Linked DNA regions of Astyanax mexicanus. The protein of the gene in region 1 purifies or fractionates together with the protein of each later gene. This does not show direct contact. Links are inferred from orthologs where the notes say so. Each region holds a gene or a part of one and is shown on either strand. Other genes may lie near its edges.

The links.
Region 2: the proteins of traf7 (region 1) and map3k3 purify together in Homo sapiens (affinity purification with mass spectrometry; 5 studies listed by BioGRID and IntAct, with this or other methods). This does not show direct contact. The link is inferred for Astyanax mexicanus from reciprocal best matches to the Homo sapiens genes TRAF7 and MAP3K3.

The regions. Positions count from the first base shown.
Region 1 is NC_064426.1:13,727,572-13,738,962, reverse strand, and holds the start of traf7 (E3 ubiquitin-protein ligase TRAF7), read right to left. Parts: upstream 4,788-11,391; 5' UTR 4,647-4,787; intron 1,430-4,646; 5' UTR 1,393-1,429; coding exon 1,258-1,392; intron 1,152-1,257; coding exon 1,094-1,151; intron 804-1,093; coding exon 712-803; intron 1-711. UniProt on the Homo sapiens protein: E3 ubiquitin and SUMO-protein ligase that plays a role in different biological processes such as innate immunity, inflammation or apoptosis. Potentiates MAP3K3-mediated activation of JUN/AP1 and DDIT3 transcriptional regulators.
Region 2 is NC_064426.1:21,051,117-21,062,078, forward strand, and holds the start of map3k3 (mitogen-activated protein kinase kinase kinase 3), read left to right. Parts: upstream 1-5,422; 5' UTR 5,423-6,502; intron 6,503-8,045; 5' UTR 8,046-8,431; intron 8,432-10,962. UniProt on the Homo sapiens protein: Component of a protein kinase signal transduction cascade. Mediates activation of the NF-kappa-B, AP1 and DDIT3 transcriptional regulators.

The DNA.
Region 1 (11,391 bases):
CTGAACACACAGTGTGAGCAGAGCAGAGCAATGTACTGTATACTGTATATCTGTATCAGTGTCAGGCTACAGAACTCACTATCAAATTCAGATTATTGACCGATAAAGAAACAATTTATTGCCCAGATCATAATCTGTCATTGTTCCATTACAAACCACACAGAAATCTGCAATAGTCCAGAACATAGAACCTTCTTCTTGTATTTACTTTTTTATTAATTTACTTTAAAATTTACATTTAGGAAATTGTCTCTAAATGGCCAACTGCATCCAGAGACCTGATATTTTCAAGTTCCTCCTGAACTGCACCTGAAATCTAAAATTACAAGCTTTACGCTAAATGTTTTGAGCAGTATTTGACTGCACTCAGCCACAAAAAACCTCAGTGCTGGTATGTAATTTTGATCAGGTTTGAAAATAAAGTACATACAAAAATCATCCAAAAGTACTTCAGCACTTTAAAACATCTTAAAAGGAATCACTCCAACTCACACCACAGATGTTAAGTGTCTGTTGTTTTGTAAGGATATCTTATACATTTAGACATTTAAACTGACTCTGTATGTTAAATTTTATAACCAGTGTTGATTCATCACCAAAAACTCTTCAAAGCATAGTCTTTGGCTTCATCTGGTTCTGGTAAACAGGCACGCTGTTAAAGTAATAGGCAGTGTTAAGAAGTGGACTCCAGCAGAGCTGGACTGTGATTACCATGCCATCATCGTCGTCCCGTGGAGAGTAGGTCAGGGTGCTGGAGGACGAAGGGGTCCTGCGGTGCTGTTTGTAATTACCGGTCGTCTCGGCTGAAATTTCACAACATGGTTATTACAATGGATCAATCTCACTGCACAGCCCGAGGGCGTTCAGGCTGATCAATGGTAGAACTGGGTCAATCTCCACTACTGTTTTATAAGTTCAAGTTATCTACATGCAACAATTTCTAATATGTTGCTGTTGATGTAAAGATAATCAATCACCTAAATAAGCTATAACAAGCTGAGCCAGTGTTTCATTTTTACAATGCAGACCTAGCAGATCATCTGTTTCCATATTCACAGAAATATAAATACAGTGCCAAGCAGCTTGTGTTTACCTTTGCTGACTGGAGCGACTGCAGAAAACGTGGGTCCAAAAGTAGATTCCATTCTGGTCTGCATGAAGCATCACAAACAGTCAGACATTGGTGTGATTAAAATAACTTATGGTCTTACTTAATAATACGCTTTTTTTTTTCTAAAAAGTACCATAAATTCACACCTCCACTGTATTCGTTACTGACGTGAACAGCGCTGTGTTTCTCACCCAGTTACTGACATCAGATAAACTACTAACAGTGGCATCAATGGGCAATCCTCCTGAAAAACGGTTGTAGCACGCTTTACCGGAGTTCATAATCCATCAAAGCCATGTAGAGTAGGGCCTTCACAGCCTGCAAACAGAATACAGCATTAAACACTGTAAAGATACTCCCACCTCATACAGTCAGATACACTCACTTTTCACATTATTTAATTTTTTAATACTGTAAAGTGCTAAATTAATTGGTACCGTGCATGGTGGCTGAGCATTGCTAATTGGCTACTTTGATGCGACATCACCACATTTCTAATTGGGTGTTGCTAAGCCATCTCACTGTCCCAGATTACACTTATAGGCCTGCTAGGTGGTTGTGATGGTCTCATACATGGTTAATAGTAGTGCTGTGCAATAAAATGATAATGATAATTATTGCAAAATAACTTTCCCTTAATAGTAATGTAATAAAACTTCGGGGGGAAAAAAAAGTCAATAAAACTTTGTCATGACTCGTTCCGGGGACGTTTCAGACAGACAATGGAAACAGCTAATGAGAATAGGATTAGCGCCACGCTGAACCAATCATGTAGCTTGAATAGAGTTTGTGAGTGAGATAGTAAGTGAGTGAGATAGTAAGTGAGTGAGTGAGATAGTGAGTGCTCTGTGCTCATGCTCTGTGTGTGTGTGTGTATGGTGGTGAGAGTGCCAACAGCAATCATTGTAAGTTCTAGCAATATAGCTACATTAAACGCCTTTCTTGGCCATTCTTTTAACGCGTTCTGCCGGATGCTTAAATATGATGCTAATAAGCATTTATTTATTTGGAACTGACCAGAATTTCAACAAAACAGAATTTAGTTTACAGTTAGTTTACTTCGTTATTCTGTAACATTTGACCTTTTGAATATACAGGATTTAAGTTTTATATTTTTATTTATATTCTCTTACTTATGGGTAAAAATAACATTTAAGTGTGACAGAAAGTGATTTGATTTATATCATGATAAATATCCATATCCACTGACATGGAAAACTATATCCTGATAAGATCTTCTTTTTTTTTCTCCATATCGCCATGGTTGATAGGATGTTGCTACGTGAGTACTATCTTTGATAGAGTTGTGGTGGTGCCTTTGGTATAACACAGTTCATTGCTTATATCTTGGACAGGTTAGATGAGAAATCTATGCAAAAAAAATGATTGGAGTAAATAATAAATTAATGTGCAGACCTAACAGTCTACAGCCACTGAGAGATGTGGTAATGCTCGACTGTACAGATTTAGGTAACAGATTTGGGTGAAGTGCAAATATAAGATGGATTAGAGCGACTGTGACTCAGCTGGCTGAGGTTCAGGAGGCCAGACAGAGCAGTAGTTTCCAGTAATCAAACACTAAACAACACGCTTCAAACAGCTCATCCTAAGGTGCGGTGTTGCCAGCACTACTCAAACCAGAATGAAGGAAACCACAGAAATAATTATATAACACAAGGAACTAATCAGTTTCTCACAAACAACACACCCGAAAAAAGTGAGAATTATTTAATCCTGAAGGTGTAAATTGAGTGTAACATATCCTGCTATACACAGTATGTAAACACTTTATTTAATATATGTATATTTAACATAATGCTGCAAAACAACCTGATTTTAATACACAAGTTTACAAGCCTATCTATTAAGTCTACAGCACTTTAGCCAGACCAATTCCTGCTAACATTATTAAGACAGTTTTAGCCTGAGCTCATTTTCACAGAGCATAAACAAGAACAGGACTCTTTTAGTCTGCCTAATTCTAAGGCATAAAAGATGCTGAAATAAATAAATAAACAAATAAATAATTTTATGAGGGGAAAAACAAAGAAAATTTCTGAACATGAGATCTCCACACACATATCAGCATTACCCAGAAAAATACCCTTTATATTTAAATGATTCAATGAAAACAATGTGACTAAAATCCTTCGGAGTGGGTTTGGTGTAAAACACTCCCTTCTAGAGAAACTTACCCAGTCATAACTGTTTGCAGTGGCAGGTAATGGAACCAAGCCTCTAAACCTCTAAAAGCTCCCTCCTAGATTGTTATTAAATGAATAACATTGCCTGATACATGAGATCTTGGTCTAATACATGTCTTTAATATTGTATATTTATTTATATTGTTATAACATTATTATAGTGAAAACAAAAGCAGTCCCTTGCATTTTACTGAAGAAAATATTTTCCCACATTTAACAATCATCAACATCCATATAAAACTCAGAAGACAAGTGTAGTTTCACTGGTGGGTTTGAAAAGTAGACAAAACTGCTATATTTGTGTGGTAGCCCTGGTGAAGCCTGGTTCCACGTTTCACCACTGTAAAAAAATCCACTAACATTATAGGTCAGGAGGCCTAATTTCACTCCAAACCCCACTCTGACTGTGACACTGGTGAAATTCCTTTCAGATGGATTTGTGAAGCGTTTTTCCAAATCAGGGAAAAAAGCACCTCAGCAAATCATGAAGGAACCTATTGAAACTACATGATACACATTTGCAATAACACCTTAAAGTACATCCAATTGAACCAGCTATCAATTATGTTTCTTCCTGATTTATAATGGAAAATAAATATAGTTAAAGTGTGTTTCTATCAGCTGGAAGGTCGCAATGAAACCACCTTTATTACACATACATTAGCTATAGACATCTAATTTAGCTACTGAAGTAAACCTGAATTATCCAAAAAAGTCATACAGAGAGGGCTGTAAGAGCATAAACACAACACATCTGAACACCACTCAGCTAACGTAGCTACAATTCAGGCTAAAGTTTCTCATTGTCAAACAAAAAGTCAACCTTTTATAAGTAACGTTACCTAAAGAAAATAACAGTCTGGCGCTTTATATGAAAGAGACGGACTGTCGGTCTCCAGTCTCAATTTTAATAATCCGGGTTAAAACAACCCAAAACTAAGATCAGAATATAAATCTATTTTCTGCGTTAGCACTGGCTAAGCTAAGCTACGCGATTCCAACTGTCAGATATGCGTAAATATTCTTCCAGTCAAACCGACAGCAGCGTGAAAAGATCGACTACAAGCACAACTTATAAACTAAACCCACCCCGTAATCTGTTTTTGCTGTTTTTGTATAAACGTGTGTTTTTGCTACAGCTCGCCACTAACTAGGCTAAGCTAACAGCAGCTCGTGAGAGGCTTCTTTCCAAACGCGGGGGAACTTTTCGCCATCACTCCGTTCTCTCACACATTTGCGCATTAAAACGACGTTTACTCTAACATTCTTCCGTTTTTATCTTCTATACAAGTATTTACCACTACATTTACCACAAAACTAAAGATTCTCACCTGTAAGCGAACTCTGCGGAGAAATTCTTCATTTTCTCTAACGTTTTCGCAACCACGCGCGAAGGATTCTGGGAAATGTAGTAAGTAAGCTGTGTAACCGTATAAGGTGTTGCAGATGCGAGCAGAAAATGGAATACAACTCCCACAGTTCAACATCGCGCTATGTTTCTAAATATGCAAGACTGAATAGTCCGAGGTTGCGTTTCTTAAGGTGAAATAAATATTATGTAGTATGTAGTATGTAGATATTTAAAATGTATCATTTGAATAAGTGAACGAAAATATTGTCATCTTGTATCAACAATTTTATTATTAACTGCATTTCTGTCCTTTGAACAGATGAATCTGTGAAAGAAATTGTGTTTTTTTTTGTATTAAATGTGTTGTTTAGTGGAATAAGTTAAACATCCCTGTTAAATGTGTTTTCATACATTTTGTGGAGGTCCAGTCGGAGGAGGGCGCTGTTCGATCAAAGCATACGTGTTCTTTTCTCGTTTAATTACTGGAGAGTTTGTTTATGGTTATGTTATATAACTTACTGTATGTAAATAAAAAATGATTAAGTCTGTTTTTTAACGAAATATGTACATGCCGGCTAAAAAAATAAAAAATATGGAATTTGCCAGGCCCTCCTTGCAGCAAAGCAGCAGCAAACAATGATGTTTCCACTTCCATGCAAAGACTTGGTCTTTGGTTCTTGTGCTTAAATGCTGTGCTAGGTTTGCACCTATCGTGCCTTATGTTAATATGCCAATGTGTTATTTTTTTGGGCAGCAAAGTTTCTCACATGACTTTTTGGCTTATTTCTGATAGTAGATGCTGCCCTTTAACACTGACTTAGGTGAGAGCTATCTGTGGGTCTTGTGATTAAATGTTTGGTTTCTTTGAGATTTTTTTTTACGCAACTTGGGGGGTCTGTTCTTGAGCAGCTCGGATGCCATGCCCTGGCCATTTTATTAGCAATTTTACCTGGAAATGATTTAGGGGATAGTGGAAAGAGTGATTTTTAATTGTTTTGAGATCTTTGTAAATATACTGCCAGATTCATCTGCATCTAAAACTTTCTTTCTTAAGGCCTCAGAGGGCTGTTCGGATGTGACTATGGTTAAACTGCTCACCTCAACCGAAATATTGCCCTCTCTGATCATGGTCTGATCATCTGCAGCTAATGTGCTGCATTTTAATCTAATTTTAGTAGTAATAAATGTAAGATGTCCTATCAAATGATCTTAAAGACAAGACAAAGCATACAAGTCTTAGTAATGCCAAAAGAATCAGTGATGTCATCATGTGATGTCTAGCGTTTGGGAGAAACCAGATGTACCCGTTGCTCTCATGCTGCTCTGAACTTTTGGGTTTTGGGGTCAGTATGTGGGAGTGATGGTGGTGGTCCTTCTTGGGGGATCTGGTCTAGAATTTCCCCTCGGGGATCAATAAAGTATCTATCTATCTATGTATCTACAATACATATACACAACACTTATTTATCCAATTCTTGAGTATGCTAGGTCAATCTGAAGTGGACAAATAACTTAAATAAAATGGAAAGGGTACAAAAATGTTGCTGCAGGATTATCAGCTTCCAATCACTATCTCTTCCACTGTTAAGCAAAAAGTGTGATAAAGCTACCCTGTGCACCCTCAAGAACGTACTTGCAGATAGCTCATTTCCTCCGCATGGCTTCTTGCCTACAGCACCTATTTCCACTTTCTCACTTTGTTTCCATCAAGGAGAAGTGCCCATGAGTCTTTCGGTATTCTGTATCACTGTACTAATAAACAATATACATTTTTATTATACATTTTTCATTTTAAAATGCCAGATAATTTTGGGTCATGAAGTTCTTGACACATACTCAGTTGAAGATAATGTTTATATTCTTTATCATTTTTATTGGTACAAAAACATGAGTGCACAAAGACTTTCACTGAATGTTCTACCTCAAAATAAGGTACAGCACCGCAACAAGCTTTGTACTCTTTTAAGTACAAATCTGTATTTAATTTGTCTTAGTGTGTTGGACAAATGTGTCAGATCTCACTCTTTATAAATTGTTATAAATTATACCGATACTGACAGGTCTAAATGTTTAAATATGTTCAAAGAAACAAAGGCTCTGCTATACTAAGACTGACACTGTAAATTAATGATACACACTGCATTAGGAAAACCAGAGGCCTGATCTGTTATTGTGTGTGCAGATTGTATTCAGCGCTTAAATATCTTTTTAAAAGAACCAGTTTAACATTTATTTGAAGCTCATGACAAATGCAGGATTAATGCTACTCTTACATGCTGCAGAAATTAAGCATCACATGACTCTGCATTAATTAAACACTCCTGCTGAGATGTGGGTCAGAACTGAGAGCTACTGGGAGAGCCAATCCAATCTCCTTCACATGGTTTCTGTAGTGTTACAACAAGCGTGAATGTGTGAGAGCAGGAGATGCTCATGCTGGAGGGGGAACAGCTTTAATGGATGGGGACTGGAGAATGTTTGCTGCTGGGGTGGAGTCTTTGAAGGGTCCAACATTTCTGTGACTTATAAAGCCAGAAGAATCTGAACAATGGAACACGTCAACTGTCTGCCTTTGCTCAGTGGTTCCCAGAATGGGATCTGGTGATCGCTTGGAGGTATAGAAATATATATAAGGCTGGAAATGAATGCTTCACCTGCTTAACACAGAAGGCAGAAAGCCTTTAGCTGATCTAATTGAGTACTTCCACTGAATAGGAGCATGATTTTTATTCCTGTTCACGACACTGCAGCACTCAAGTTGCCCTTAAGTGCTTTTACCCCTCAGCTCTTGAAGCGTCTAATGGAACAAACGTACGTCAAATCCTGCACATAAGACACAGGGTAAGGCTGTCAGCTGTATTCAGTGCATTCTGGCTTCTGAAGGACAAAAAAAAGAAAAACTGCAGCCTCAATACGTAAAAGTAGAAATGCAGTTCAATCTATGTTGAGTCCATGTGACATAATACACAATACAACTACTGTTTATGTTTATAAGTAAATAATCTTAGAATATTTACACATTAAAATTAGAAAAGAAAGATAATTTCACAATTCTCGGCAGGCATGTCAATACAACCCAATCCTGGCTAATCCTGTGCCAGCCCACATCCAGGCTCACAAAGAGGCCACATCCAGGCCCAATCCTAGGTACCAAAGACATCAATTCCAGGCCACATTAAAAAACAATCCCAAGCCATATTTAGGCACAATGCCTTTTCTAATCCTAGGTCTTATAGAGGCCTTGTCCAAACCCTCGCCCCATCCTTGCACAATTATGTGCAATCCACACCTAACCCTGGACCACATACATATAGTTTTCACATCCCAATCTCAGTTGGTGACAGACTAAACCCAGTGTTTGTTAGCAGCATTCTTAGCATCTTAGCATCCTCTGTTATACTATATCAAGATATCAAATGTGATTTGGCTTTAGACCTTCTACTGACTCTCTCTAAATAGATATTTTAAGAAAACTGTCTGAAATATCCATATAGTTTTTTAGGGACAATTTTCTTAAATTTAAACAGCCCTACTATATTAATGATAATACTAATTATGTTATTAACTATTTTCAAATACCTGTACTATAAAATATGATTATATATCATAAAACAGTGTTAACCACAAAAGCTTTGTGCTTAGGCACCTGTCTGGCATTTTTGTTTCAATTCAGCTACAGTCTCAATGGAAAGAGATGGCGCTGACACACATGTTTAGCTGTGTGTCTGTCTCATCTCACACCTCCTAATGCAACTGTGTGAGGTGTGATAGTGGAGGAGGTTTGGCTGGGAGCCCAAACAGACACACGACAGATGTCCACTTTATCATCTAATGGCCTAACTTCACATTCTCTCTCCATAATGGACCTCCACTATATCATAACCAACACATCATACATTACCAGAGCTACATATGACTTAATGACAGGGTATTTTTAGCGTTTTTAGTGCCCAGTCTGCTAAGCCTTCAGATAAAAAGAGCTGAGGATAGGCCTTCTTAAAGACAACCATACTGGATGTGACCCCTTTGAGTTGCTAAAGATTGTAGAAGTAGTAATACTCCAGTCCAATAATAGTCAGCAAAATACAAACAAACAGCAATGCAGAGAACATACATGTATAAATATACATGTATAATTTTATACTCATATGACTCAAAATAGTGTTTTTCTGTTGTGTTTGCTCTGCTCTTGTTCTAAAAAGTCTCGCAGTTTGTGGCAAAGACTGTGTTTAAACCTCTCCAAACAGCACACAGTGTCATACTGAAGAGGAATTTGTCCATATTAGGGCATAAATAGTGGGTAAAAGACCTGCTGATGCAAAAAAAAATTCAGTGGCCTTAGTTCTTATAGAGATTCTAAACTTGGCAAATACTGAAGAGAAAAAAAATCTTGCTACTAACTTTCCACCCGTTTTATGGCACTCCCCTCCTCCTGTGCGGATTGGCTAGCAGGTTGTCTTCCCTGATAGGCAGACGGCTTCCGAATATAAGGTAGTAGCCAATCCCAGCGCGGGGACGGGATAACACCACCCAATCGTAGTCGTGCGGAGGCGGGATGTTCATAAAATCGGGTGGGAAAGCGAGTAACAGTGCGGTCAGTTACATGAGACCCACTTTATATCGTCCTTTTGTCGAAAGCATTAGATATAAAAGTGTGTGGACCTCATAACCCTCCCGAGAGCTTCTCCGCGCCTCACTTCCTCTCACTCTAACTCGCTTTAACAGCTCGCTGTCGCTTTCCGCGGCCACTTTCCCCAGCCTCTTTCGTCCATTCAGCATCGCTTCAACTTTTAGCTTAGCATCATTTTCCCCATTTTTTTGCCGCCACTGCAGCAGCGGTTGGCCGTTAGCGCTTCCCTCCCCTCAGAACCAGCAGAGAATAGATCCGTATCCACACCGTTTATCACTATATTTACTGTTCTTATCAACTGACTGAAGGACCCCAGTGCTGCAGCAGACTGGTATATATGTGCAGTTGGGGACTTGGATTTACACATATCGCCAAATAAGGAACCGGGAAGAGCATCTCCTCATCAGCTGAAGGTAAGAGAGACAGCACCAGACACCACCATATAGACACAATATCACACACCAAAATACACCTAAACAGGCAATATAACCACAATATATACTGCATCAGACACACATATAACGTACATACAGACAGTTTGTGACTTGGATTTTTTTCTGTTTCAAAAACAGTTCCAAAAATCTATTTTTACCTCCCCCGTCAGCCTCGAAATGATGCTGTTATATAAAACTGCCGTTTACCTCAGCCGACCCCCCATTTTTTTGATCGATGGGATCATTGATTAATAGCTAGCGACAGGTAACGTTAGTTAACGCTAGGTTAGCTAAGCCAGCTAGGCTTCGTTTCTGCTTTAGTTTACTAGGTTACACAAAATGCAGCAGCGCAGGGTGTTTCACACACGCACACACACACACACACACACACACACACAGGTCAGGCTGGTTCGCCCTGCATCACGCGAGACAAAACGGTGAAAGTTCTCAATAGCTAAATGTATTATATCAAATTATCTTCACGACTTTATCCTTATAAATACTTCTTAACACTTAAATCTGCACTGAGTTCAGTTTAGTGACAGGTCTGAAGCAGTTCATGCTTATTAGCCAGCATAACCTATCCTAACCGTCCTAATTACATGCTGGAAATATATTTTTTCCAGGTTAGTTAGCGTTAACATGTACTCATAAATCATGCTAAATTGTGTGAATTTATTATCGTGCACATAATCACACACTGTAATTTACCACGTTCACAGGCCAAATAGAGATTCTTATAAACCCAGTTCATTTACCAAATGTGTACATTACCAAAACTCTTTAGAAATAAATTAGGGTTCCTGTCCATAAGCTAACTTACCTTTATTTGGTAAAGAACCTTATTTTAGGTTCTTAGAACTTTAAAAGAGGCTCTGTACATTTACATATATTTTACAGCTAAGGAAGCACTCACTAAAATACTGGTTCCTTATGGTAGGTAAAACCTAATGAAATAATGCTTAACACATTTATCAGTGACCAGTAGTGACCATCTACCACATGGACTTATTTATGTGCACACAGGCATGACTTAAGACTATTCTCATTCAACACCCTAAAAAGCCAAAAAAAACCCCAAAAAGGTTTATTCAAACACATCAGTACTGACCTACATGAATGCACCGACCTATATGTACGATTTTAGGTTTATTCTTGTCCAGCAGCACCTTAAACTTAAACCACATCTTAGCTTTTCAGTGGCCTACAGAAAATACACTACACTTCCAAAAGTATCCAGATGAAATGGAACCATGCGTCACAGTCTATGACAATAACACAAGTGTAGACATTTTAATTGCTAGCCAAACCTACCTAAGTGTCTCTTCTAAGTTTGTATTTGGACAGTGTAAACAAATGAATTTTCTTTTGGAGGCTAGTTTTGCTGCGCACCCTGCATGTATCCCTTCACCACTCCTACAAATACATTTTAGGCCCAAAATCTTCTAAAAACTACTAAAACTGTGTTTTGAGTGTAATCACTTATTGTATAACTTTCCTAGAGGAAGCGTATTGTTTTACACCAAACTGGGTTTGTTTCTGTTTAAACTGCATAGAATTAAGGAAAAATGCTGTAATTCGAATTGTTGCTCTTATTGCTCTCACATATAGACAAACTGACCAGTAGAAAAGGGCTGCTCTTAAGCAGCTGTGAGCACATG
Region 2 (10,962 bases), about 7.3 Mb from region 1:
AATTGTGGACTGCCAGGTAAAACTGCTTTCAGTGGTCCTGTGTGCAGGTGATGCACTGTGATGTGTTCTGTGTTCTGTGACCTCCTCAGTCAGTAGATAATGTGTGACGTTCCAAAAAATCCAGACCTGGAGGGCAGCACAGTGTCCTGCATGATTTGAATTATTCATTTAGGCAGGTGTTTTTGAGTAAGGAAATCTACAAACTGTACTGGATACAATTTGAAGGCCTTCTAGTCTATCTAGTCTTTCACATTCTTCTTTTTTCAGTCACTTAAACAGCTCTTTGATTTGAGAATATATCTGTGTTCGGATCTGCTGTTGTATTCTGTATTGAATCATGTGTTTTAATATACATTCTCTCAGAACAGATCTAGCCACATCATTCAGTGCTGAAATGGAGGCTCAAACTTGGCTTTGTTTCAAGCAGCTCTGTGAGTTTGCAGTGTTTGGCCCTCTGCTTTAACAGGGGCACTGGAGCTAGAGATTGAGGTGGTTAGTGCTCCATCTGGTGTTGGGAGAAGGTGCAGCACAGTTGACAGTTTAACACATAAAAAAACCTATACTTTCTTTTATTTTCTTTGTTGAGACCCATTTATATTTTAAATTGGCTGAATTGGTTTTATAATGGAGTTACAAGGCTAATCTTGCTGTAAAATGTTATGTAATAAGTTTATAGTCATCCAAAATTGAATTATTTTTGAATTATCCAAAATTTAGTCTTTTTACTTCTTGTAATTTATTACCACATTTTATTTTATTACTTTTGTTGCTCAAAAAAAATCTGTCTGCTACATTTATGGTAAGGGAGCACATTTTTGTGTAGGTTTATTTTTTTTGTCAGCGCCTCAAAAGTTAAAGTAGCTGTTTGGCAGAAATCGAGTTAGTACAGTTTTGCTCTTTTACTTTTGAGCCAAAACACTAGGCCTGTCATGATGTATCATCCTAGAAATTATTGAGAAACAATATTATTGTCATTTTTAATGACAAACAATAAAAAGGTACAAGGCTAACTTTGCTAACATGATTTATGTAGTCCATAGTCATCCAAAATCAATTTCTTTTTTTTTTTTTTTGTGAATCTTCGACTTCTTATACTCATACCATTACTTCTATTACTTTGGCTACTAAACAAAGTGGTCCAGTGTTTTAGAGCAGTTTGACTTTGCTAAAATTGAGTTTGATCAGTTTTAACATCCTTAACTCAATTGTAGTTAATCAGCTGAGACAGAAATTGGCTTCTGTAGTTTAAAAATTCAGTGATTCTTAATTTTTTGTTCGACGTCTTGTATCTACATTGTAAATTAGATTTTTTTTTTTTTTCTTTTTAAATTTTTTTGGGCCAAATTATTTACTTTATTTACTTTTCACTTTATTTACTATTCACTTTCTGAGTCCATTAAGAAAGCATGAGAGATGGAACAAATGTCATCATTTGTAACCTGATTACCACAGAAGCCCTTCCTGTTGTTCTAAATGTTGGAGATTACTGTGAAATTGAATGCGCTGTGAGGTTTCGAATAATCATACGCTCTTAACATGAGCCAGAACAATATTTTCTTACCAAGCCGTAGAATAAAAACATTATTATTCTTATTATTGTTAATAAAACACACATCCATTTCAGGTTCTTAGAGAAAGGAGAATTTGTACAGTTTGGGTTTGTATTTGAGCCCAGAACTATTGTCTACTTCCTGGACTGTTCAGATTACTTTGTTTTTTTTCTCTGTAAATTTAAAGTCTGCATTTTTTTCCCATGTTAAATTTTTATTTTTTTGTTAGTTTGTTCCTCACTGGCACAAATCACTGTGTTTACATCAATGCTCCTCAGATATGTGGGCCAAGGTACAAACCTACACCATATCCTGTCTAAAGATTGTGTGTGTGAGTCTTTTCATTTTAATAATCATCAAAAATGGGGGGGGGGAAAGCGTACAAATGTCCTGTCTCTGCCTGAACGTAATCGTAAAGTGTGTGTGTATATGTGGATGTTCAGTAGCTGTAAGATTGGATTGTTTAAGGTAGGACAGATTTGAATAAAACTCTTATTTTGTAAAGTAGTAGACCGTCAGCATGGGTTGAGTGAGCTGAGAGAGAGATGCGTGTTTAAACCAAGTGGATTATTCTCTGTCGAAACTTGATCAGTGGAGTGAATCTGGTGGCCTTAAAACAGCAGGATGTTTTTGGCTTTTTAAGGTGGCGCTTTTACTTTGAATCTTTCATTCCCACTCTGGAGTCTTTCAGCCCCTTCCTCCACAGCACTCTGTTAAACCCAGAGATCCCAGACAACCAAAATGTGATGTCTTTTCCTTACTCCCTTCAAATCCACACCTTTACCCTCCCCACCCTTCCAGTCTTTTGTGTTTCCTTTCTTCCCTTTTTTTAATTTTCATTTTTTGTACACGCTTTTGGAGAAAAGAAATAAAGAAGTTACTGGTGTTCATTTGGTCTTGTGTGTTTCAATTCTTTTAAAACAGATGAAAAATATATACCATTGTTTTTAGGCCTGTAACAATAATTATTGGCTTGCAATTCATACCCCTTAATAAATTGCAGTGTGAAACAATATTTCCAAGTTATAAAGCATATTTTATACATTTTAGGTGAAATAATGGCACAGTGTAGAGCGCAATTACATCCAATAAACAGTTAGCTAGAACACAAAAAAAAGATATATATATATATATATATATATATATATATATATATATATATATATATATATATATATATATATATATATATATATATATATATATATATATATATATATATATATATATACACATTTATATACATATATATATACATATATTACATACACACACACATCATTGAAAGAGCAATCAATAATTAGTTGAGGGCAAATGTTAATGTTCTTTATTTTGTACGTTTAGAATTATGGTAAGGTCTGTAGCCAATAGGGGGCGAGTTAGACTCACTGTGTATGTGTATGTGAGAGAGAGTATACAGCCTGTCTAGCCCGCGGCTAAGCGTATACTCCAGCTACAAAGCTACACAATGTTACAGGCAATAAAATCCACAGCGTTTTAGAAGCTAGTAATAAAAGCCAAATAACTGAAATAGCTTTTGCCTTTTAAACCCTTTCAGGTCACTGAGCTCTCTCCACCGTTAAAACGCCAGTCCAATTATAATTATAACGCCAGCCAATATTAATCCTGGTTTTAGCACGGATTCTTCTTTGTTTTTGCTGAGTAAATGAGCTACTGGGGTCTGAGTTTCCCCTACTGAAATCTGCATTTAGTAACGGTACGTTCACACTGCAGCGACGATTTGATGTTTCATTTCATGATGTCTCTTAATATTAAACTCCTTAATTACGGCAACTTTTAGACTCTTTTGCCCGTGGTTCTGCGCAATAACTGCACACTTTCTCCGCTTTTAGACTCTTTATCCCTTTTTCTGCGCTACAACTGAGCACTCTCTCCGCTTTTAGACTCTTTGGCCCGTTTTCTTGCGCTACAACTGAGCACTCTCTCCGCTTTTAGACTCTTTGGCCCGTTTTCTTGCGCTACAACTGAGCACTCTCTCCGCTTTTAGACTCTTTGGCCCGTTTTCTGCGCTACAACTGAACACTCTCTTCGCATTTAGACTCTTTGGCCCGTTTCTGATACCTAGCATTCAAACTTTGAATCTCACATTATAAAAACCTACTTAACAGCGGGCCAACTTTCATTCTATTTCTAAAATACCGCTCCAAAAAAGGAAACGGGCCGCAAATGGCCCGTGGGCCGTAGTTTGGACACCCCTGGTCTACGCTGTCATACTTTTATCTAAATATCTTAAAAAAGTAAATTTTTGCTGCTGCTGCCGCTCTTCATAGAGAACAGTGGGAGGCATTGCTGTAGTGTGAACATACAGTAAAACAGAGTCGGATCCTCTTTCAGAGGCTGTATGTGTGACGTAAGTACGTAAAGACGCTTGGCGTGACCAGAAGGACTCCTGCGAAAAGCGACCCGAGATCCCAGCTTTTAGAATAAATATATTAGGCTTAGCAGGGATGGTCATTCCAGCCCACTGGTACCATTAAACATAGTATTTTGTCCCTTCTCCGTTCAGAAATGCTTCTGCTCTCAGTGTAGAAACAAAATAATACGAACTGTCACTTTAAGTTGTGGCCCCAGGAGGCAATAGGTCAGATAGACTTATCTGTACATGTGTTAATCATGTTTGGCCAGTGAGTGGCGCTGGCGTGGCGCTTTTCATTTACAATACTGAGAGTCCAGATAAAGCTAAATCTCTCTCAGCTGATCTCTGTTAGGGGAATTCCAACTTTTCCCCAAGAAATAGGTTTTTAATTTTTCAGCCCTTAAGTGTAAACAGTGGGTATGGTGTGCATTAGTTATAGCCAGTTGAGTGTATATTAAGGTTTCTTTACAGTAGTGATGAAAATAATGAAAATAGTGGCCACCCTGATTAGAATACAAATTTAGGCATTTTATTTACTATACAAACCCATCAGTAAACCAACACACACAGTTTTAAATACAGGTTTAAATGTAATGATGTTAATGATTGTTAAATGCTACAAAATCATAAAATCATCAGGGTTCAAAAACACTGGTCTAAAGTATCCATTCAATGCCATGTTTAGTATTAATAATCATAGTGTTACCACACCCCATTGTTATGCAAATTGTTTTGTTTTTGTTTTAGTTTTTGCCTCTGCAAATGTGTGCTTTCTAGTATTCAGTCTTATTTAATTATTTAATTGCAAACTATACAAATACATGATCCTACCAGAACAAGAAGATTCAGGACAGAGGGGAACAGAATTTATCTTTTTGGGCTTTATTTATTTGCATTAGTTATTATATTCGAATTTTAATTCTTAATTTTATTGTTATGGTAAATAAAGAAACAAAAAAAACTAATAAACACATAAATAAATTCTTCACGAGCTTGTGCTCTCTGCGCCTGCTCACTGTTCAATTACAGAATCGCATACAGTGTATTAACGCCGTGATTCAGTTTGGCAAACCGATTCTTCCTAACAGTATTTTACAGTGGGGTCGATTCAAGTGTCGATACGTCGATTCATTGATTCAAGTTAACTACCTCTATTTATCCCCCCTTATAGACTCCACTGTGCATTTGTGTTTATAATAAATGTTTTTTCAGCAATGTTTGAGCAAAATCCTGCTTAGGTGCTCCTTAAGCCCAAAAAAATAAAGTTTGTGAGAATCATTTGTGAGAATTATATTTTATTAAATTTATTACATTACGTTATCTAACATTGGATCAGCCCTCAGTCTATGCCAATTATTGCATAAAAGCGTATATAGGTAAATATATTAATTATAAATACAGTCTCTTCAGATCCAGAAAGTACAAAAAAGGTATATCCTAACAACACACAATTCTGTTCGGACTCGTGAATCGGCTCGATGGTTCGAAAGAACCGATTCGTCTGTCCTAAGGACTCGAATCTCCCTGCGACAGTGGTGTTCGCTTAGCTGCATGAAATGGATGGAAGTTAGTGGACAGTAAGCGGTTTCTATTTTTTAAAAACAGGGGGATTTTTTAAACACTGCTGTAGAATTTCCTGCTGGATATAAGTTCTATTTTTACAACTTTTTCAGTCGTTTTGAAGGAATCAAAGGTTTTTGGGTTCTGGTGTCGATTTGGATTTTTTTCATGTCAGGAAACTCGCAGCGTTAGAAAAGATTCACTCCAGACTTTGCGGTTTTTTGATAAACTCGTGATGTTGAGATGTGTCTGCAGCTTCAGTCGTTCATTTTATGATGAAATATTCGGATTTTTGGACTGAGAAACACTTATTTTACACTGTTCTGTCGTGTGAAGACACAAACACAGCAACGGAAAACGGATTTGACCATCGAGCTTCGTTACTATCCTTAACGTGTTATCTTTTTTTCTCTCACTATATTAGGTCGATAATATCGTATCTTTGGGTGAAGTGTTAGCGTGTATTAGTTTAGTAAACATTTAAGCGGTTTCTGCACTTGTGTATGAGCATATTTTATCTTTTTTAAAGCTCATAATCCGTAAACCTAACTAAGCTAGCGAACTAACTTAACAGTGCCGTTAGTTTTTTTTCAGGAACGGTTTATACCCCGTTTTTTCGGTGCAAGTGTAAACACAGAATTAGTTCTCTCTCTTTTTACCTGAAAAAGAAAACAACGATAAAAAAAAACTTATGCTCGGGCGAACTGACTCTTTCAGACGTGCAGAAAAAAATCTGCAAACTTAGCAGGAAAAGAAGCCATCAGACTCGCGGAAATCGCCCCCCTCCTCTCTAACTCAGCTCCAGCTCAGCTAGGTTAACTGTTCAGCCACAGTTTAAATGGATTTCTGCACCAAATCTGCTCTTTTTGCTTTCTATTCCGGAGTATACGACACAGTTCACATCTAAAACCGGTTTATTACACGGGGAATGCCATCTAATATCCACAGCAGCTTTCTGAAGAACACGGTCTAAACGCTGGAAAGACTCAGCAGCAGTCCTGAACCTACATGTGAGGTAAGCTACTGTATGTAGTTAGTTCTCTAGTTATTATTGTTCGGTAACAGTTAAGCTACTAATGTAATTTTTAAACACAACCAGTCTGCTCTAGTAAAGACTGTGTCCCCCATTAGTCACAGTCCCTTTAAAAAGAGATGCTTGGGTTACTTGTTAGTAAAGGAGAGTGATATAGCCCTAAATATATATCACAACATTTCATGGTATTTTCATGATAAGGATACTCTTTGCAATATGACAAAACACTAAATTAAAACAGACATCCCAATTTGCAAAAATTAATTTCAGGGAGGTATATTGGAAAAAAAATTAGATCACTTTAAAATAATCAGTTTCTGATTTTGCAATTTAAAGGTATATGTTAAAATAAAATGAGCATTGTTTTTTTTATTCTATAAACTTACAGACAACATTTCTCCCAATTCCAAATAAAAATATTGTCATTTACAGCTGACTCTTTGTAGAGAACAGGCCAATCAAAACCCTCTCTGTTTTGCATACGCTTCATGAATATGCACACAGGGAGCGCCTTTCTCTTCCTCTCCCTCTTTTTTATTTGGGTACAAAAAGTCGGTGTCGCCTGTGTGCACGTTTGTGTTCACTCTTGGGCCACTTGTTCTAGATTCCGGGAGATTTTATCTGATTTGCGGGCATCAGGGAGCTGTTATTGATATATGTAGACTCACGCACCCTCCGGGAGACTTGGGAAGTCTAAAACAAACAAACAAAAAAAAAAAACAAATCAACAGTACACTACTAATTACATTCTGTTATTGTATACGATATGATATGGCACACCCCTAACTGAGATATAAAAAAAACACAATTTAAAAAAAAAAAAAAGAAGTCAATAATCCAGAATGTCAGGTCACTAATAATGCACTCCATATATTCAGCATTAAAGTAAAATAAATGATATTGGACAGATGTAATCTGTCTCTAGTAGATATATAATTGGACATGAGAACAGTGTGAATTTTTCTTTTGCTAAAAGCAGCAAAAATGTAGTACTTTGATGTGATAATTAGGCGTGGATGATATGGCACGATATTTTAGGGTATAATATCGTCCACAATATTAAAAAATGTTGCCGATATTATTGCATATAATATAATATGGCACACTACTACTTGTCAGTTAATTAAGTGTTTACAGAAGAGAGTTTGTTTCCTCTGTACATCAATAGGGAGACAGTCAGAATTATTCATCATTTATTTGCCCTGGCATTTTGAATCCTCTAAGGGATTGTATTCTCTTATCCTGCTATTTTAATTTGGACCTGAACAGTCTCTGAAAATACCCTTTGTCTGCTTGTCATAATATTGTGATCTATATTGTGTATTGTAAAAATGTAATTTATTCATGTAAATATTGCAATATTTTTTGTATATTATTGCCGTATCATATCACACACTTCTAACGCTGGTGTACATTCAACATAATTTGTTTGGGCTTATAATGGACCAAATTCTAAAAAATGAAACTAGACAAGTTATGTAATAACAAACGTCTTGTAATAATCATGTGTTTTCTTTGTTGTCAGTTTGTGCACAGCTACGATGCGAAGAAGACGGCGGCTTCCATGCTTCAGAAAAGTGCTATGTGGAGAAGCTTCCTTCACTATAAGATCATGAACTGACAGCAGACCTGTAGGAAACGCCACCACTGTCCACCCTTGCTCGCTCTTTCTGGACTGAATCTCTCTCTGTGGTGGTGCTGGAGGCCGCAGGCCGAAGGGGCTGCCCCCAGAGGCCCGGGGCCCGGGCAGCGGTTTAGCGATGGCATGATTGCTTTTTCCAATCCAGGAGCAAAGAGACAGGATTTCTGGGGACAGCATTGCTGAACTAAGCCAGTTTCCATTTCTTGATATATTATTTTGTGAAGCTCGAGGCAAAAAGAAGAGAAGGGAACACTGCACTGTTCGTTCAGGTGAGAAAAAGCGTCTTTTATTGTCCTCTGAGTGAACAAATCGTTCACTACAATGCTTTACAGGCATTGTAACCACAAATAAGTGGCTGGCAATGTCAGCTTGAATAAAATGAAATCAGATTGAGTGTATCCAGCATATTGGCTGTGTGCAGAATAGGGCTGCAGCAATCGATTATTTTAGTAATCAAGTACTCTACTGAAAAATCGATTCGATTATTCGAGTAATCAGATAAAACATAAAATAAGAGATTTCATAAAATAAGAAATTTCACTTAATAATGAATGACCAATTAGTTTAAATTTTAAATTCACAACATACATTTCCACATTGCAAACACAAATATAAATAAATAAAACACAAAATAGACATAAATACCTCAAGTAATAATTTAATAATTTAATAAAGTAAGTTAAATGATTTAAACTTAGGATTTCTTGTAAGTATTAAATATAGAGCATTAATCAATAATAAACATTTGCTTTATGTTGTGCATCTTTATTTACCTTTTACACTACTCAGATCTAATGAATTGACATAACTAAGACTAAATGACATTACATGTGTTTATTTATAAACTCCACAGTGCTGATTTACAGTTTACTGATTACATAAAGCCTGTATTAAGTCTAGAACTTGTCTCCATTGTAATAAACTAACCACACATATTAGACAGTATTAATAATAATCAGCGCTACACAGTGCTGTCGTTATGTTATTAAGGTACATTGATGGTCATTTTATTGATTTGTTATGAGTTAAATTTACCTGCTCGCCGCTCCAAAAACCTCTGCCTCCTCTGCCTGATTCCTGTGCATGAGTGATGTAAATCTAAACGCGCTATATTTTACATTAACGTATCTGTATGGGTTGCTGTGGTAATGAACTAAACCTTTGGTGATCTACTAACCTTTGGTGCACTTCTTGGCCCCCTCACTTCTATCATTTTTGATGAGGTTTTGTATGTGGCATTTTGAGTGGTGCAAAGGACATGGTAAAATGTTATTTGAAGTTTTAGAGCAACCAGTCTGAGACACATCTGTACAAATCTAAATATCTTGGCATTTCACAACACTAGGGCTGCAACTTAACGCTTAGCTGGTAATGCTAGAAGACTACAGGCTGATAATACTCACCTGAATGGCTAGCGCTTAGTGGGTAATGCTAATACTGCTCCAGCAGTTCTAGCCATGGTTAGAGGAAGGCTACAGGCCGATAATATTCACCTCTGGATGCCCGAATGGGTAGCGCTTAGCGGGTAATGCTAATACTGCTAGAGAACTTAACTGAAACTCCTGTATAACGCTGTACTTTAGGGGAGTGGCTTTACACTTCCTTACAACCTGACTGGTAAAATTCATACATAAGGTGCACCGGATTATAAGGCGCACTGACTATTTTTGGGAAAGTTAAAGTATTTTAAGTGCAGCTTATAGTCAGAAAAATATGATTTATACATGTTTATAACTGTATGTAATTTTTATTTTAAGATCAATATCTGACACTTAAGACGTTAGGGTCATTAACACCCTCCCCTGAACATCAATAGTGTCGCGAAGCGTTTCATATCACATGTATGACTGGCAGGGAGAGCTTATAAACATCTGGTTTAAGATCCATCAAAATTGGAGCTAAAAGGCTTTTGCTTGATAGTGACAGTATGTTCAAAACATTACACTGTAGTTTTTGTGTGGAAGTGTTAGAGGGTGGTTCATACAGCTTCCTTTTCTCCACCTCGTGGATCAGTTCCCGTTTTCATGAGGTGGAACATCAGCGTGGTGTGATATGACCCGCCAAAAATATAAAGAGGGCACCATCACTGTCATGTCTGGTGCTTGTGGGTAGTGTGGACAGTATTGTTGATTATAATTAGAGTGTTTTTCTTGGTTTTGTTGATGTCAGTTCCTCACTGTGCTTGCTGTTGGACCAGGTTAGGACTGGGAGGTTGTGCAGCAAGCTACATCGACTGCGTTCTCTTAAGCATTACAGGGCTAAATGGTTACTAAGGCTTTGCCGTATCATTGTGCTCTGTTATGGTCTAGTTAGACATATTACGGTTCCTTTTTCAATCTGCCACATTGCTAAATCAGAGCAAGGGAGTGCACTAACATTTGCAATAAGACCCTATCACGATCGGCCTCATCCCACATCACTATTAACTACATCCCACATCAATATTAGCCCTGCTAACATCATTATAAGCCTCCTTCAACATCCCTACTGCAGCATTAGCACACCTGCTATGGGCTTCGTCCCACATCACTATCACAATCAGTCTTGTACCACATCACTATCAGCCTCGTCCAACATAACTACTGCAGCATTAGCACACCCGCTATGGGCTTCATCCCACATCACTATCGATTTTGTCCCACATCACAATCAGCCTCATCCAACATCACTACTGCAGCATTAGCACACTGGCTATAGGCTTCATCCCACAGCCTCTTTCCACATCACTATTAGCCTCGTCCAACATTGCTATTGCAGCATTAGCATACCTGCTATGGGCTTCGTCCCACATCACTATCGG